Linked DNA regions of Arabidopsis thaliana. The protein of the gene in region 1 purifies or fractionates together with the protein of each later gene. This does not show direct contact. Each region holds a gene or a part of one and is shown on either strand. Other genes may lie near its edges. The genes, in order: AT2G40290, CAND1, BTF3 and AT1G73230.

The links.
Region 2: the proteins of AT2G40290 (region 1) and CAND1 fractionate together in Arabidopsis thaliana (co-fractionation; one large-scale study listed by BioGRID). This does not show direct contact.
Region 3: the proteins of AT2G40290 (region 1) and BTF3 fractionate together in Arabidopsis thaliana (co-fractionation; one large-scale study listed by BioGRID). This does not show direct contact.
Region 4: the proteins of AT2G40290 (region 1) and AT1G73230 fractionate together in Arabidopsis thaliana (co-fractionation; one large-scale study listed by BioGRID). This does not show direct contact.

The regions. Positions count from the first base shown.
Region 1 is NC_003071.7:16,828,256-16,832,974, reverse strand, and holds AT2G40290 (Eukaryotic translation initiation factor 2 subunit 1), read left to right. Parts: upstream 1-1,748; 5' UTR 1,749-2,085; coding exon 2,086-2,469; intron 2,470-2,599; coding exon 2,600-2,656; intron 2,657-2,735; coding exon 2,736-2,822; intron 2,823-2,905; coding exon 2,906-3,052; coding exon of another isoform or gene 3,053-3,103; exon of another isoform or gene 3,104-3,140; coding exon 3,141-3,245; intron 3,246-3,553; coding exon 3,554-3,652; exon of another isoform or gene 3,653-3,656; intron 3,657-3,789; coding exon 3,790-3,945; 3' UTR 3,946-4,209; downstream 4,210-4,719. Other genes in the region: FER4 (ferritin 4), read left to right, coding at 1-77, 230-313, 398-458, 544-631, 889-950, 1,068-1,133, 1,238-1,301, 1,437-1,474; AT2G40280 (S-adenosyl-L-methionine-dependent methyltransferases superfamily protein), read left to right, coding at 4,675-4,719. UniProt on the Arabidopsis thaliana protein: Functions in the early steps of protein synthesis by forming a ternary complex with GTP and initiator tRNA. This complex binds to a 40S ribosomal subunit, followed by mRNA binding to form a 43S pre-initiation complex.
Region 2 is NC_003071.7:688,010-692,811, forward strand, and holds the start of CAND1 (cullin-associated and neddylation dissociated), read left to right. Parts: upstream 1-1,774; 5' UTR 1,775-1,926; intron 1,927-2,302; 5' UTR 2,303-2,335; coding exon 2,336-2,371; intron 2,372-2,453; coding exon 2,454-2,629; intron 2,630-2,729; coding exon 2,730-2,937; intron 2,938-3,226; coding exon 3,227-3,392; intron 3,393-3,670; coding exon 3,671-3,800; intron 3,801-3,985; coding exon 3,986-4,100; intron 4,101-4,312; coding exon 4,313-4,470; intron 4,471-4,557; coding exon 4,558-4,681; intron 4,682-4,802. Other genes in the region: AT2G02550 (PIN domain-like family protein), read left to right, coding at 588-755. UniProt on the Arabidopsis thaliana protein: Key assembly factor of SCF (SKP1-CUL1-F-box protein) E3 ubiquitin ligase complexes that promotes the exchange of the substrate-recognition F-box subunit in SCF complexes, thereby playing a key role in the cellular repertoire of SCF complexes.
Region 3 is NC_003070.9:6,151,871-6,155,833, forward strand, and holds BTF3 (basic transcription factor 3), read right to left. Parts: upstream 2,113-3,963; 5' UTR 1,996-2,112; intron 1,556-1,995; coding exon 1,488-1,555; intron 1,399-1,487; coding exon 1,250-1,398; intron 1,161-1,249; coding exon 1,104-1,160; intron 1,011-1,103; coding exon 972-1,010; intron 887-971; coding exon 702-886; 3' UTR 514-701; downstream 1-513. Other genes in the region: EGY3 (ethylene-dependent gravitropism-deficient and yellow-green-like 3), read right to left, coding at 1-315; GER2 (NAD(P)-binding Rossmann-fold superfamily protein), read right to left, coding at 2,608-3,572, 3,705-3,726.
Region 4 is NC_003070.9:27,539,711-27,543,508, reverse strand, and holds AT1G73230 (Nascent polypeptide-associated complex NAC), read left to right. Parts: upstream 1-1,556; 5' UTR 1,557-1,689; intron 1,690-2,144; coding exon 2,145-2,212; intron 2,213-2,298; coding exon 2,299-2,447; intron 2,448-2,546; coding exon 2,547-2,603; intron 2,604-2,687; coding exon 2,688-2,726; intron 2,727-2,818; coding exon 2,819-3,003; 3' UTR 3,004-3,281; downstream 3,282-3,798. Other genes in the region: AT1G73240 (nucleoporin protein Ndc1-Nup protein), read left to right, coding at 174-551, 648-1,112; OCT1 (organic cation/carnitine transporter1), read right to left, coding at 3,400-3,798.

The DNA.
Region 1 (4,719 bases):
CCTACCAGCTCTCATCTCTCACTCGCTCGACAAAAGTACTCAGACGAGTGCGAAGCCGCCATTAACGAGCAGATCAAGTAGGTTATTCTTTCTCACCCCAGTCTCTTAGATTCGGTATTATAATCTGGTTGATTGGCTATAAGATTTGGTAACTTGGAACCTCATGTTGATTCTGCTTATTGTTTATGAACCTGTGAATTTGAAATTCTTCAATGGATTTTGGTTGCAGTGTGGAATACAATGTCTCGTATGTGTATCACGCTATGTATGCTTACTTTGATCGGGATAACATCGCGCTCAAAGGTCTTGCCAAGTGAGTCTCCGGTTATTCAAGAGTGTTGATATTTTCGGATTTTTTTTGTTTATCCATAGTTAATTGTTGGTTTCATGGAATCAGGTTCTTTAAGGAATCAAGTTTGGAAGAAAGAGAGCATGCTGAGAAGTTAATGGAGTATCAGGTCTTATGAAAGTTATTTCCATTTGTTTACCTTATTGGAGCTAATTTGGTTCTAACATGTTTTAGTTTTTTTCCATGAATTGCAGAACAAACGTGGTGGGAGGGTTAAGTTACAGTCCATTGTAATGCCTCTTTCAGAGTTTGAACATGTTGACAAAGGAGATGCTCTTTATGGTAAGCTCAAAAATGCTAACACTAATAATCCCAAGTGAAAAAACTTCTTTAGTTTCATATGTCTGCCACATTCTAAGAAATTAGATATTGACACCAATGATTTTGTTAAGCTTTTGAAGAGATTGCATATTTTCACTAGCAAAGACTGAATTTTATCTGAGTTCTTAAGTATTATGAAAATGTATCTCTCATATGGAGATTCAAGTCTCAATGGATATAGGAATTTTAACATACAATTCTGTGATTTGTTGTTGCAGGCATGGAGCTTGCTCTGTCACTGGAGAAACTAGTTAATGAGAAGCTCTTAAACCTTCACAGTGTAAAGACCATCTCTTCTTGAGTTCATACTATATATGTCAAATCCGTATTTGAGAAGTAAATCTAATCTTCACTCGGCAAGAACTGTTCTCAGTTTGGTAATGCTTTGCTTCAACAGGTTGCTTCGAAGAACAATGATGTCCACTTGGCAGATTTTATTGAGAGCGAGTTTCTGACAGAGCAGGTAATTTATTTGGTGTTCTATGTTAGTGGCAAAGAGCTACTGTTGTATATAAGCTATCAAAGAGAATCTAATAGGAATTTTTGATAAAATAAAACATTTCTCAGGTGGAAGCAATCAAGTTGATCTCAGAATATGTGGCTCAACTGCGACGAGTTGGCAAAGGACACGGTACATAAATAATCTCTCACATTTTGTTCTAATCTATAAATTTATAAAAGAACAAGAAAATCCACTTATTCATCCTACGTCGTGCCTCAAACTTGGTTTTAATATATGTCTTTGAATGCTTGTGGGTAATTTCAGGAACATGGCATTTCAATCAGATGCTTCTGGAAGGGTAAGCAGCTTCGAGGGACTCTTGTGTCTACTGTGTTTCTATATGTGTCTACTTTATGTTTAGTTCTTTAGCTTTTACGATTTTGTGAGGTAGTAGACTTCTTTTTCTGTAAGAGACAAAAGACATGATCACATAACTTTATATTCTGGTATAAGGTTCATCAAACCCACCTGGTGATCGATTCTACATCGGTTCGGTCAGAATGTTTTTGGACTGCCAAATGTGGATTCGAGCTCTAGTTTAGTTTGCTCCGGTTTAAACGCAATTCATGAATAAGCAAAGGAAATCAATCCAAACTTACGTTGTGAAAGAAGTTGGGCCGAAAATGTCTGAAACCCGAATAGGCTTTTAACCCCTAACCCCTTGAAACTATCTTGTGGCCCAATTAAAACCTAATTGTTTAACTGACACGGTGCCGTTTAACTTGGCATCTTTGACGCAAGTCGACTCATTTTCCGTTTGTGTTCCTTGCTCATTTCTTATCTCTAGAAACCTGTCTGATTTGCTCCGTCGCCTAAAAAGTCTAAAACCCTAAGTGTCTCCGCCTCGTAGCTTTACCCGATTCAACGAAGAGTGAATTCGCGTGAGCTCAAGCAGTATCGAAATCTACCAATCATGGCGAGTCAAACACCGAATCTCGAGTGTCGGATGTACGAGGCGAAATACCCAGAGGTGGATATGGCGGTGATGATCCAGGTGAAGAACATTGCCGATATGGGAGCTTATGTTTCTCTCCTCGAGTACAACAACATCGAAGGCATGATCCTTTTCTCCGAGCTCTCTCGTCGTCGGATCCGAAGTGTTAGCAGTTTGATTAAGGTCGGAAGAATTGAGCCTGTCATGGTTCTCCGTGTTGACAAAGAGAAAGGTTACATTGATCTGAGCAAACGTAGAGTCAGCGAGGAAGATATTCAGACTTGTGAAGAGAGGTATAACAAGAGCAAACTTGTTCATTCTATCATGCGCCATGTTGCTGAGACTCTTTCAATTGATTTGGAGGTAAAATATCGTAGTTCAAATCTGGGATTATCTACTGGATTTGGATTTTGCTTGTTAGAGATATTATCAAATATCATAGCTTAGTGATGTGATCGTTGAATAGAAATTGATTTGAGCTTTCATGTTGCAGGACTTGTATGTGAACATTGGTTGGCCTTTGTATCGACGACATGGTCATGCTTTTGAGGTAAGAATTTTGTGAATTGGAGATTCATTGTGTATCTCTATGGTTATTTAGTTCTCATATATAATTTTCTTTTGTTCAGGCTTTCAAGATCTTAGTGACGGATCCTGATTCAGTGTTGGGTCCTCTCACCCGTGAGATCAAAGAAGTTGGGCCTGATGGGCAAGAGGTATATACTTTGTTCTCTGGCATTGTTTTAGCGGTTAGTACTAACTTTATTTGGTGCTAATCTTACAAGTTTTCTGTTTGTAGGTGACTAAGGTTGTACCTGCTGTTACGGAAGAAGTGAAAGATGCACTTGTGAAGAACATTAGGAGGAGAATGACACCACAACCAATGAAAATCCGGGCTGATATCGAATTGAAGTGTTTTCAGTTTGATGGAGTTGTTCACATTAAGGTCGTATCTCTTATTAGATTATCTTTAACTTGTGAAATGAATACATTATGATTTCATTTGATTTTCTCACCCATGCTTGTAATTTCAGGAGGCTATGAAAAATGCTGAAGCCGCTGGAAATGAAGACTGTCCTGTTAAGATTAAATTGGTTGCTCCACCTCTGTATGTCCTTACTACTCAGACACTTGACAAGGTTAGGCAATCTTCTATCTTGCACTATGATTTACTTGGTTTGGTAATTGGTATATTATAGAAATCCTCCCCTACTTATCTTTAAGAGGTTTATGATCTCTGTTTAGATTGTATATCCACTAAAGCTACTTGCCAGAATTTTGAAAACACTGTAGTTGCAAGGAAAGTAAATGCTTAAGAAAACACTGGACATTGCAACTTTGTTTGCCAATTATGTAGCTCTGCGGATTTGTCTTCACTTAAACCATAAATGTGTAAATGCTATGTTTTGTCCCATTTTATCTTCTCAATTTCTCAAATATTAAACAGGAACAAGGGATTGAAATTCTAAACAAAGCCATAGCAGCATGCACTGAGACAATTGAGACACACAAAGGCAAGCTTGTCGTTAAGGAGGGGGCTAGAGCTGTGAGTATCTTAAATTAGTTTTTTTTAAGTGATGAACCGTCTCGAGTTGCATGTCACAAGAACGAGCTTTTCTTTTGTGTTTTGTTTAATTTGGTTCACAACCGCCTATTAATGTTTATAATCTATGTCAAATATAGGTGAGTGAACGTGATGAAAAGATGCTGACAGAACACATGGCTAAGCTACGTCTTGACAATGAAGAAATGAGCGGCGATGAAGATAGCGGAGACGAAGAAGAGGACACTGGTATGGGCGAAGTGGATCTCGATGCAGGTGCCGGAATCATCGAGTAAGATTGCCGGATTTTTCTTTCTATTAAATCTACCCAATCTCAACAGTCCCAGTATTTTGGTTTAAGCTTTGACAAGGCAGTAGAAAAACCTCCGAGAGGATTTATGTGCTTTTTGATGACTCTGAGGCATTTTATTTTACCCATAGGGGGTGGTTACATATCAATCATACATTCATGGTTTTATAAAAGATTTGATTCTTTGCATATGTTACTACTGCTCAAGAATATGTTGCTCCACCACATGACTCATTATTATCTTAGGAAAACTTTGGCTCAATATGATCATACTTTTGAGTTTAAACCTCAGGAAAGTAGGTTGATTGGATCTGGCAATGATAGGTGTGTAGATTTAATTCAGATCTGATGTCTCCGAAGATGCAGATATTCATCAATTACTACTGCGATCTTCTATTGAGAAAATTTACCAAAAATGAAATTCTTAAAAATCCTCTGTCTGATACATAAATGGTTAACTTGCAATTGATTCATAATTAAAATGATTTATTACAAGATCAAACATCTTGTCTTATACTACTAATCAGAAAAGAAAAATTCTTTCGGACACAAATCCTTTTTTAATCTGTCGGCGCATTAAAAATTACTTAAGCTCTCTCTGCAAAATCGAAATGTGAAAGTTGCGACTTTTGGAGCTCAGCTCAGCTCACACTTTCCTCTTCCTCTTACCTGAAACGCGTCTCGTAACACTGATCTCTAATGATCTTCGTCTCCAATGGCGATATCAGTACAACACGTCGTCGTTTTACTCCTCTCCACT
Region 2 (4,802 bases), about 16 Mb from region 1:
ACACTGACCTCATACCATTTAGATGTTGAAGAGTAAGTTCTTTAATACACTTATCAATTATTATTATTTTAAAGGTTTTTCTCATGTAGACATAACATTAATTTTTACTACCACTTTAAACTTTTGTGTGATCACAAATTATTTTCGCCAGTAAAGACTTTGAATTGCTTGAACTCGAAATGATAGACTTATTGAAGCGGTTTCATAGTAGCAAGAAAAATAAAGACAACGAAAAAGAAACTAAAGAAGAAGCAAAATCTTACGATTTTTCAGAATTCACAGACGATAATTTTCTGGAGATGTGCATTCTTTGCGATTGTGACTATTTTAAATGGCCATTAACGGAGGGATCCGAAAGAGCATATGAAATAATTGGTACTAAAACTATACGTGGTAGAGAGGTACTTTTTACTTGGTTTAGTTCAAAATAGTAGTATACTATACATTTAGATTTTGTATTTGCATGTATGATGACATGATGTGTGTTATTCATTTTCTTTCAGGTAATAGAGGAACTACTAGAGGACAGCACTGACCTAACTTCTCATCTGAAAAAATTCATAATTTTGTTGCTTTTCAAATATTAGTATGTCTATAATCAAGTAATTGAAGAGCTTCAACACTTGAATGTGCCTGAGGTGTCTAACCTTCCATTCTTGCGTGACCGTGAGTCTGGCGATGAATTTGTCATTCGAAAGTATGAAGATTCTACGGGCACATATTTGTCAACAACTAAGACTAAGGAAATAGCATAAGGAAGACTTAATCCTGAAACCCACGAAAAATTTACACACGTGGAAGTGGAAGAAACAGATGACGAAGAAACTACTTAGACAAAAGTATCTAATAATTTGAATTTCGAAGTTCTAGTTCAAAATAAAGGAAGTCTAATTTCGACAAAAAATCTCACATCTATACCATATTTTACGGTTTTAGTTTTTTTTAGTCGTTAGCAACAATGACAATCAGTTATATTTTGTTAACTTTATAATCGTTAGCGATGACTATCGACAATGAAATCATGTTTATTTGGTAGTCGTTGGGTCGGGAACATTTAACAAATGATTTTGATTCAATTTTTTTTTTTTCTTATAAACCTTATCGGCTGATCTGGTTAGCCCTAGTAAAAACACACCGAAATGTTTTCGAGTGGACTTCTTCCCGAAAAACCACCATACTGTCTGTCTGTCACGAGTTTGAAATGCTTTCTGACTAATGCCAGGGGGTAGTCAGGCGGCCGCCTACATTTCTAATTACCAAGTAAACCAATTAAACCAAGACCCAACTTATACACTTACCAACTTTCAAGGAGAATCGAACTCGGGTCTAAGAGTTTCATCCTTCCCAAAGCTTCCCCTACCACTAAACCACATATACTTGGCCTAGGTTGAAAACTTTCAGTGATACAATTTTTTACTTGCTAATCGTTCAAAAATATTGACCATAAATTGTCGATGAACCAATGGCTAACACTATTTAGTTGGTTGGTCGCAATCGCATAGCATGTCCCTGACACAAAAAAAGCAAACAAAAAAAGAACTACTTGGATCAAACAAAGAAACCCATGCTTGGGCTCAGACTGAAAACAAAGTAATTGGGCCAAACCCATTTAGTATTAACCGACTAATCAAGTCCAACAATGTACAGCATGAAATAAACGCTACCCATTAACCGACTCAAATCGCACCAAGTCAGGCCCAATTAATCCTACACAGGCCCATTTAGAAGAAAGTTAACTTCCTCCTTAAGAAGAGAGAAGGGCTAAAAATCAAGCTTTCACGAGTACGGAAATTTACAGTATCTCCTCCATCTTTTTTTACTTTCCTCAGAGCTCTCTCCTCTCCGCAACTTCCACCACCACCAAATCGGAACTCTCGGCGTTCTACTCCGTCTCCGGCGTTACCTCCGTCGATTTCATCTTCTCAGGTTACTTAGGGTTACCTCTTTTTTGCTTTTTGATCGATAAAGTGTGATGATGTCTAGCGTTAACTCTTTTCGTCTTCGTAGTCGTAGTCTTAGGGTTTTGGTGGCGACGATACTTTGATTTATCAAACCGAACTTCTTCTTTGTGATCTTCGATGAATCAAAAGTTTTCTAAGGGATATTAATTAGGTTTTGTTACCGGCGATAATTAATCCATCTTCGATGCTTCTTCTTTACACTTCTGACTTTGTTTCTGATGTTTTAACCTCTGTGGAGAGCTTGATAGAGTGACATTGCTCTGACTAAGCGTTTTAGTTCAACGCATGGTTGATTCTCTTTTTACTAAGTAATGAATTTTGAGATCCTTGTTTGATTGCAGTTGGAAGGAGTGAATTGAGAAGGTCGGGCCAATATGGCGAACTTACAAGTTTCTGGGATACTCGAAAAGGTCTTTTCATCATCTGTTTCTAATTAAGCTTAATTTTGTTTTTGAGTATAGTCACCTTTTCTCATTGCTGTATTTACTATAGTTTCAGATGACGGGTAAAGATAAAGATTACAGATACATGGCAACCTCTGATTTGCTTAATGAGTTGAATAAGGATTCCTTTAAAATCGACCTGGACTTGGAGGTGAGATTGTCGAGTATCATATTGCAACAGCTCGATGATGTGGCTGGTGATGTTTCTGGATTGGCTGTTAAATGGTTAGCTTTCTGCTCTTAGCAACTTATGACCTAAGCTGATGTTATACTTTTACATTTAGCTGATCTATCGTCGACCTTTGATGTTATGATTTTGTTCCAGTCTTGCTCCATTGGTGAAGAAGGTTGGAGAAGAACGAATTGTTGAAATGACCAACAAGTTATGTGATAAACTGCTGCATGGGAAAGACCAGCATCGTGATACCGCAAGCATAGCTCTCAGGACTGTTGTCGCTCAAATTGCTCCTACGCTTGCTCCATCTATTCTTGTTACTCTAACACCACAAATGATAGGAGGAATAAGTGGCCAGGTTAGTTGTTGGGAGGTCTATTCCTTATTATTTCGATTGCATATGCGACAGTGCTTAGGGTCGTCCTAGACAATTTCGGATCCCATCAAAATCATATTGATTGACATCTATTGGAAAATTAGTTGATTTTACGTTTTAAGTTTTATTGGATCTAATACAGTTAAAGAACTCTGTCTGAAAAACTCTTAGTAGACCAGAGCACAGTATATGCATATAATTATTTGTCTACTCTAAGGTTCTATCATCTTATTTTACAAGTAACTAATTTTCTGCGTATTTACTGCTGAAGGGAATGAGCTCAGGGATCAAGTGTGAATGTCTTGAGATCATGTGTGATGTTGTTCAAAAATATGGAAGTTTAATGACGGATGATCACGAGAAGCTATTGAATACATTGTTATTGCAATTGGGCTGTAACCAAGCCACAGTCAGGAAGAAGACTGTTACATGCATTGGTAAGTTCATAAAATTGAGTCAATATGATTGCTGGGTACTGTCGGTACTAATGTCAATATTTAGCTAATTTGAAACCAACTTTAATCTGCCGAGACTTGAGTGGTAGCTTTCCTTATCTATATTAGAAATATGGTTTTCAGCTGTTTGCGTCAATTCTTGTGAAACCGATGCTAGTTCAAATGATATATTCAATGTCATTTTTTTCCTAGTCGTATATAGAACTCTTAATTCGATGGTATATAGCCTCTTCTAAGTTCAAAATTTTGTGTGGTGTCAGCTTCTCTTGCTTCCAGTCTGTCTGATGATTTGCTCGCGAAGGCGACTGTTGAAGTTGTGAAAAATCTAAGTAACAGGAATGCAAAATCGGAGATTACACGTACCAATATTCAAATGATTGGAGCTTTATGGTACTTCCTATCTTCCTTCTTATCGGCTTGTTATATATCTTTAACTTCTTACCATACGTTACTGTAGTGTTGTAGTATGCTTCGGTTAGTTGTACTTGTGCTACCTATTTATTGATTGGGATGAATGGTTATCTACGACTAGGCTTGCCATGGTTGTAATGCTATTTAATGCGTTTTTGTTTCAGCCGTGCTGTTGGTTACCGGTTTGGCACTCATCTAGGTAACACTGTGCCAGTATTAATCAATTACTGCACTAGCGCTTCAGAAAATGACGAGGAGCTTCGCGAGTATAGCTTACAGGTATCGTGCAAGATTCCCTAATGTTCCTACTTTCTCACTACGCTTGCATTTTTTGTTTTCTCATCTAATTTTTGTAATCAGACAATTACTTAGGCGTGCTTGTAGTCTCTTTTCTTTCCTATGCTATTAAATTGGAATTCTAATCTTAGGTTCAATAAAATTGGTATGAACAATGTAGACGATAACATGTCTGTTCTGAAATTTGACTGCAGGCACTTGAAAGTTTCTTGCTACGATGTCCCAGGGACATCTCACCATATTGTGATGAAATTTTAAATCTTACTTTAGAATATATTAGTTATGACCCGAATTTTACGGACAATATGGAGGAAGATACTGATAATGAGACTCTTGAAGATGAAGAAGATGAGTAAGTTCTGATTTATTCATTGGAACAGTAGCCTAGCTCCTTACGGTGCACCATTATCTCACTGAAATAAGTCTTTCTTTCTCACAGCGAGAGTGCAAATGAGTACACAGATGATGAAGATGCCAGCTGGAAAGTTAGGAGAGCAGCGGCCAAATGCCTAGCAGGATTAATCGTTTCGCGTTCTGAGATGCTCACTAAAGTATATCAAGAGGTATATCTTTTTTAAATGATCAAGCGTATTATCTTTCATGACGGGAGTGTACAAGATTCCCTTACACAAGAGTTTTTCATTCTTTTACCTGTGTTTGATTAAATATGAAACAAGAATCTAC
Region 3 (3,963 bases), on another chromosome or scaffold:
ATCCATCTCTTGCTGCTTCGACTTCTTTTCCTCCTCTTCTTCACTGCTCTCTGGAGAAGGCGGCGCATTATTGTTATCGTGGTCTTCTTTTTGCTCCTCCGCTAACGCCACCGGAGAAGGAGCTTCGTTCACAGGTTCACGAACGCGATCATCTTCCGCTGAACATCTCAAAGAATGTCTGCTTCTCGTTGTCTGATTCACAGAAGCTTTCCCAAAGTTCGAAAATTCTGCTCTGTCAAAGCGACGAAGATGCAAACTGTGACAGGATTTAAGAGTTAAGGAAGATGATGGAGTAGAAACAAAGAGAGAAGCCATGGTTTACGAAAACTCAGAAAGATTGAGATTTGACGACGAATAGACATGTCTCTGAGAGAGAATTTGTAGAGAAAGTGATGAAATGTCTGGAAAGTTTGAGAAGAAACTCATACAGTACAGGTGGAATGGTTTTTATGCAACAAGACAATGTGTCACATCAAAATCTTCTAATCCACATAGTGAAGAGGAAGAAGAAGACGAGGACCTGATTTGCTGTCAAAGAATCAATAAGACATCAAATAATTGGATAAAAACCTTAAGTCATTAGATGGAAAACAAGATTCTGGTCGGAAACTACAAAAAGGATCGAGCGAACAAACATATTATAAAGATATGTAAAAATCAAAGTGCGGTTTTTTTTTGGATGTGGTCTCGCTCTTTTCTCTCTAAGAAGAAGCAGCAGCAGCTGGTGCTTTCTCTTCAGCAGCAGTTTCGAATGTCTCTCCAACAAGCTCTGGGACATCGTCATCATCCTCTTCTTGTATGGTTGCTGAGGCGGCATTACCTTCACCAGAAGCCTGTTTCTGGAACTGTTCTGCTAGCTTCTTCAGGTTGTCCATGTTGTCTGGTCCTGAAAGAGATCAAAGTAACATAAAGTTAGAGACCTTAGGATCGATGAAGAACATTTAAGAGCTGTACAGTTACATGGTACACACCAAGTTGGCTGATGATCTGAGGAAGGATATCTTGCAATTCTGCAGGAAGCAACACGTTTACATTAATCAGAGAAGATGAAATGAAGAAGAAACAAGAAAGTAGAGATTAAGAGATATTATGAGATGCAATACTTTTGGTCTGAGGAGAACCGCTAACAACCCATGTGTTTGCAGCAATTGAAGCTTGAACTGTAGTAACATTCAAAGGAGGAACAATGATCAGTAACATGAAAAAAAGGTTCTGATGTATAGATAAAAAATGGTTAAAAATGACTTACCCTTAGGGTTGATGAACTGAATAACAACATCATCCTTAAAGATGTTAACTTCTTCAATAGCGGGAATGGAGTTAACTCCAATTCTCTTAAGAGTGCTTTGAAGCCTCTTGTCATCAGTTGTATTGGTCTTGTGCACAGCCTTCTTCTTTCTGCAAGTAAAAATCGAATGGTTTCATAACACAAATCATAGTAAATGCTAAGTATTGAACAATGAAATTGGTTGAATAAAACTCTATACCTTCTGACAGTACCCTTTCCGCCAGTGCGGACGGTATTAGCCATCTTCATCAACTTCTCCCTATTCATCTGTGTATAAACCATAATAAGAAGCAAAATCCATCAATCCCCAAATCACTTCCAAAAGAATCAATGAACACATTAACTGCTAATAATACATTCACAAAAACTTCTTATTATACAAGAAACTAGTGAGAAGAAAGTAAGCGCGAACAGATTTAAACTCAGATGCGTATGAAGACACGGTGATGTGACTAGTAGTTTTAACCTAAATTTAATCATTTTCAATCGATTAGGTATACCAAATCCCCCAATCAAACACACAGAGAAGTTGAAAACCCAGTAAATTCCCAAACACCGACAAAAACTAATCCTATCTACAGAAAGAAGCGAAATGAATCAAGAAAGAAAGATATCTGACATTTTGCAAAATCGGGGATTAGAGAAACCCTAGAACCGGAGAGATAAAACACTAATAGAAAGGAAAATTACAGTGATAATGAATTTACCTTGAGATTAGGGTTCTTCCTTGTTCGAAGAGTGTGAGGAGATAAGAAAATGAAACAAAAAGAAAAGAAACAGAGAGAGGAGAGACGCGGGCGGCGCAGGGTTTTGCCCTTTAACTATATGCTATTCGGAGCCAACCTCGTCTCTTAATCTAACGGTGGATATCAGATATTCCATAAAGAAATCTCCATCACTACCGTTGGATGCTCGATGATAATATTGGCCCATAAGGCCCAAAACTAAACTGGGCCAATAATTATTTACTGGGCTCTTTTGTGCCGTAATCAATCACCAGTATTAGCGCGTAGCAAACCATAATCTTTTGGTTACCAGAATTTCAAAATCCACAAATTTATCTAAATGAGTTTATCAATGAACAGACTTGTTTAGTTGACTAAAATTTAGAGAAGAAAGCTATTCGATTATTGATAATCTCAACAACAATGGTACATTTATTACAAAGTAAGTTTGCTTAACTTGAACTGTATGAAATCCATGAATACAAAAATTACATAAAAGAGATAGAGAGATCTGTATAGAACCAAAAATCAAACGCATAAACATTCACGTGTAAAGAGAATGAATATTGCTTTGTGTTTTGGACCTTGTTTTTTTTACTGCTTCTTCTGCACAACATTTTCCAAATACCATTCATAAGTTTGGGAGAGGCCATCTTTAAGCGAAATCTTCGGTGTCCATCCCAAAGACGCAAGCTTCGAGCTATCCATCAGTTTCCTTGGTGTCCCGTCTGGTTTTGTGGTATCCCAAACAAGCTTTCCTTTAAACCCAACAACTTCTTTCACCAACTCAGCCAATTCTTTGATCGTCACTTCAACACCACTTCCTACATTCACATGCTCAAATCCGCTGTACTGATCCATCAAGAAAACACAAGCATCAGCCAAATCATCGACATGTAAAAACTCCCTCAACGGGCTTCCACTTCCCCAAACCACAACTTCGTCAGCATTATTGGCTTTGGCTTCATGAAACCTCCTCATGAGAGCAGGCAGCACATGGGAATTCTCCGGGTGGAAATTATCATTCTGACCATACAGATTCGTGGGCATACCGGAGATAGCATCCCACTGATGCTGAAGCCGGTAAGCTTGACACATCTTAATACCCGCGATCTTGGCGATCGCATACCATTCGTTTGTCGGTTCGAGCGGACCGGTAAGAAGCGCAGATTCGGGAATCGGCTGAGGAGCAAATTTGGGGTAAATGCAAGATGAACCAAGGAAGAGGAGTTTCTTCACACCGTGTGTATAAGCAGAGTGGATCACATTGGTCTGGATTTGGAGATTGACCCCAATGAAATCAGCTGGGTATGTGTTGTTAGCATGAATCCCACCGACTTTAGCAGCAGCTAGGATGACATAAACTGGTTTCTCTGTAGCAAAGAAAGATTCAACATCTGATTGGCTAGTGAGATCAAGCTCTGAATGGGTTCGAAGGACCAAATTGGTGAAACCCTGATCCTGGAGCTTGCGGACAATGGCAGATCCAACCAATCCCCTATGTCCAGCGACAAAGATCTTGGCGGATTTCTCTAACATAAACGAACCTGATTTCATCTCTGCACAGAATTACGAGGGATCAAAGACCTAGGGTTCCAAAATTTCCACGAAAATCTAAATTCAATTCCACAAAACTCCGTATATAGACATGAAACATTATATTCAGACATAAAATAGAGAGATGGACGTACCGGATCCTGTGTTGTCCGCCATTGTTTAGTCAATTAGTTCTACAAGACGATGAGCGATTGAGAATGGGGATTTTGACTTATAGATATCAGTTTTCGAAGTCAACGACAGAAGCTTAGATTTGTAGGTAAAGGTTAAATTCCTTGGAGAATGTAATGTGGAGGAGATCTGAATATCCGCCGGCGATCTGAATCGGTGTCGGATATTTTGTTATTCAGTTTATGGATCCTGGCCCATGGGCCTAAATAAAATAGTCACCTC
Region 4 (3,798 bases), on another chromosome or scaffold:
TATCGATATGTTTACTTTTCTTGAATAACTTAACTCTATTCCTACCTAAACAACTTTAAGTATTCATCGGTGAGTTTGCTCTGTGTATTACTTGTTACATCCATAAACTTCAGCTACTTTTCCAGGTTCTAGATACAAAAGAAGTTAGTTATAATTGTTGTTTTCATATCCAGGTTCTGCACACAAAACGGTTCAGCTTTGCTCCTCCAAAAGGATCTGCTGCAGCAGAAACGAATCCAAGCGAGCCTCTTCTTGCTGCTTTAGAAGGGAGCGCTCCAGGTTCCCTCGAGCAGTCTCTTGCATACCTTGATCTCTACATGGTGTCTCAGAATAATGTTGACACATGGCGTCGTGCTGCCTTCTTTGAGGAGTCCACCGAGACGTACAAAAGAGTAATTACTCTATGCTTGAGGCCTTTGGAAGAGCTTGCCTCCAAGTTAGCTTCTGGGCTAGACCACACCTTTACTGAAAAAGGTTATCAGACACCACTCCAGCCACCAACCGAGTCCTTTATTGATCCAAAATTCGGCGAATCACTTAAGTCTTTCCAGGTAAAACGAAATTCAAATTTTGATCCCTTTTCTATGTGATAATTTCTTCATGTAGCTGTAACCAAAATCTGTTTGCTCTGTATCCGATATTTGCAGCTATATGCATGGTGTGCTCAAACATCTGCATCCCTGACTTCAATCTCTCACAAGGAAGACAGGCTCGGAGTAGCTCAACTGTCTGGTGGAAACGCTGATGTTGTCTCAACACTTCTATCGCTTTTGCTAGCTATCGAAACGTTTATGGGGAAGAAGACTAATCTTCAATCACCTCAACAACTGATGGGACCTGCTAGTATCAAATGGGCGACCTCGAGTATGGTCAGAAAAGACGTTAAACCCATCAAAAGGAGTATTGGCGCAATGTACGCCTACGCATATGCAGCGACAGATGTTTTGAGGATATCAGTATACCAGATTCTATCCACATTCCGCGATGAAATGCTCAACAGCGACAGAGCCGGACTTCTTGGTAGAGATTGGATTGGAAGCAAGAAACCACCTTTTGGAACAAACGACATGCTCCTACAGAAGCTTAAGCTCTTCCTCGAGTTCCAAGCTTGATGGAAGATTAAAGAGGTACAATTCCTCGATTAAATGTGGTAACAAGTGTCATCATGATTCAAGAGCTGGATAGAAAAAGGAACTAGAGTATTTTGTTACATGATCAAAAAGCCTTGTATTGGAAAATGAAATCCCTCGATTTTGCAGAAATTTGGGATTAATCTTGTTTTTGGTAAACTAGAAAATTATATAAGAATCAAACTTTAATGGTAAGTTTTGCATCTTAAATCTTGATTACATAAATTTTGCAGAAGACTCTCTATATGCTTAACAGTAACTAACTCTTACGCAATTTACGAAGGAAACCAAAATTAGAATCTGAAATGGGCCAGAGATTTATTAGGGCCCATGGCGTGGCTAATAGTAATATCGAAGGAGAGATCGTGACCGTTGGATGATGATTAATATAATAATTGTATAGTGGTTAAAGCTTAGATTGGCTACATTACACATCGCATTTACTTAAAGGGCAAAACCCTCCAGCGCCGCTTGGATCTCTCTCTCCTCTGTTCTCTCTTCCCTTATCTTCTTCTTATACCCTTCGACCAACGAAGAACCCTAGAAATCGATTAACAAGGTAAGCCCACTTCAGCAAATCGTTCACTCATTTCATTTCCAAGATATTCGATTGTTTCCTTCTGATTTAGCACAAGGGTCAAGATCATTTTTTTGTTTTTGTTCTTCCTCGATTCATATGTTTTTTTTCATTGATTACTGTTTTTGATATTGGTTATCTTGTTTTCCAATAACTTGTTAGTTAGTTAAAAGTAATGTTTGTGTAATGGTGACCTAATCGATTGAAAAAATTGAAACTTTAGGTTAAGCTCATTGTAACAATACGAGCTTTGTTCTTCTCGCTGCACTGTTCTCATAATCCTAGTGTAATCAATTTGTGGGTTGTGACTATTGCTCAGTATTACTGTTTTTGTCATTGGCTAATTAATAACAGTATTAGTTATTGTATATGCTTAATTTATAAGATACATTTTGGGCTAAATGGGTTTAGCTTTGTGTGTTTGTTTTGAAAAACAGATGAATAGGGAAAAGTTGATGAAGATGGCTAACACTGTCCGCACTGGCGGAAAGGGGACAGTAAGAAGGTATACTCATTTATGTCTTTTCTGTGAATTTGTGTTTTTGCCATTTTTCATGTTATATTCTCTAAACATTTTGACTCTCATTTCAGAAAGAAGAAGGCTGTTCACAAGACCACTACAACCGATGACAAGAGGCTCCAGAGCACTCTTAAGAGAGTTGGAGTCAATTCCATTCCCGCCATTGAAGAAGTTAACATTTTTAAGGATGATGTAGTCATTCAGTTCATTAACCCTAAAGGTAAAACATCAAATTTTATGGCTTTATAAATCTCAGGTTTCGTATAAAATTTATTGTATTAATGGTTGTTGTGTCTCTGTTTTAATGTTGCTATCACAGTTCAAGCTTCAATTGCTGCTAACACATGGGTTGTGAGTGGTACACCACAGACGAAAAGTAAGTGTTTGTATCCTCATTGTTGATCCAATACTATTCTCGGTTTATGCATAGTCTAATCTCGGAATGTGAATTATCCTGCAGAATTGCAAGACATTCTTCCTCAGATTATCAGCCAACTTGGTATGCAGCATTAAGTGTTACACTCTGATGTCCTTTCCCAAACCAGTGGTCCCTTAAGTTAACATTTTGTTTTCTTGCTTTGATAATCGCAGGACCAGATAACTTGGACAACCTGAAGAAGCTAGCAGAGCAATTCCAGAAACAAGCTCCAGGTGCAGGTGATGTCCCAGCAACAATCCAAGAAGAGGACGATGATGATGATGTCCCAGATCTTGTAGTGGGAGAGACTTTCGAGACCCCTGCTACTGAAGAGGCTCCCAAAGCTGCTGCTTCTTAGAGGAGGAGGAAGAAGAAGGAGAAGAGCTCACCTGCAAAACCCATCATAAAAATGTTTGTCGCTCGACCTCTTCTGAGCACTGTCAGATTCTTGTTTTCTCTAATGCTTGCGAACAGAAAGACTTGGTTTTATTATCACTTGATGCTTTTTGGTCCGAACAGCAATTTTCCTTTTATTAAGGTTAGATCGCTTTTTGTTTACCACCTGTTCAAATGAGTACTACTATGTCCTGTCGCTTCATACACTTCTTGCAACACAGTCCTTTGTTTTGAGTCAACGATGTCTTGAGATGAACAATCAACAGTTTCGTACATTTAAATGGAAATTCCAAAGATTTTACATATTTCCAATTATTGGATGTAAACATTCCATAGAAATACAACACTCTGAATGCAATCAAGTAATCATGATTGTTTCGTTTTCGATCTCTTCCGCTTTCCCCTGTTGTGCTAGTGTTTCGTAAAGCGGAGCGTTTCGAGTTTCTCGTAGCCAGAGACTCACGATGCCGCTCAGCACTGATGCAACACCAAACACGATGAACGACATCATTGCGCTTTCCCTTCCTAACGCAACTAGCAGTGGTGCTGCAGACGCTCCTAGCATAAACGCTTGACGCAAAAGTGAGACAGCAGTGTTCCTAACGTTTGTTGGGAACAGCTCTACGCAGTAGACATATAGGACGTCATACGCTGTCGAGGATGCCATGAACCCAACCGCCTCAACTGCAAGTTGTAACCATTTTGCCACAGATATCGCACGGATCACGCGGTGGATCGAGAGAACCGCGCAGAGCAG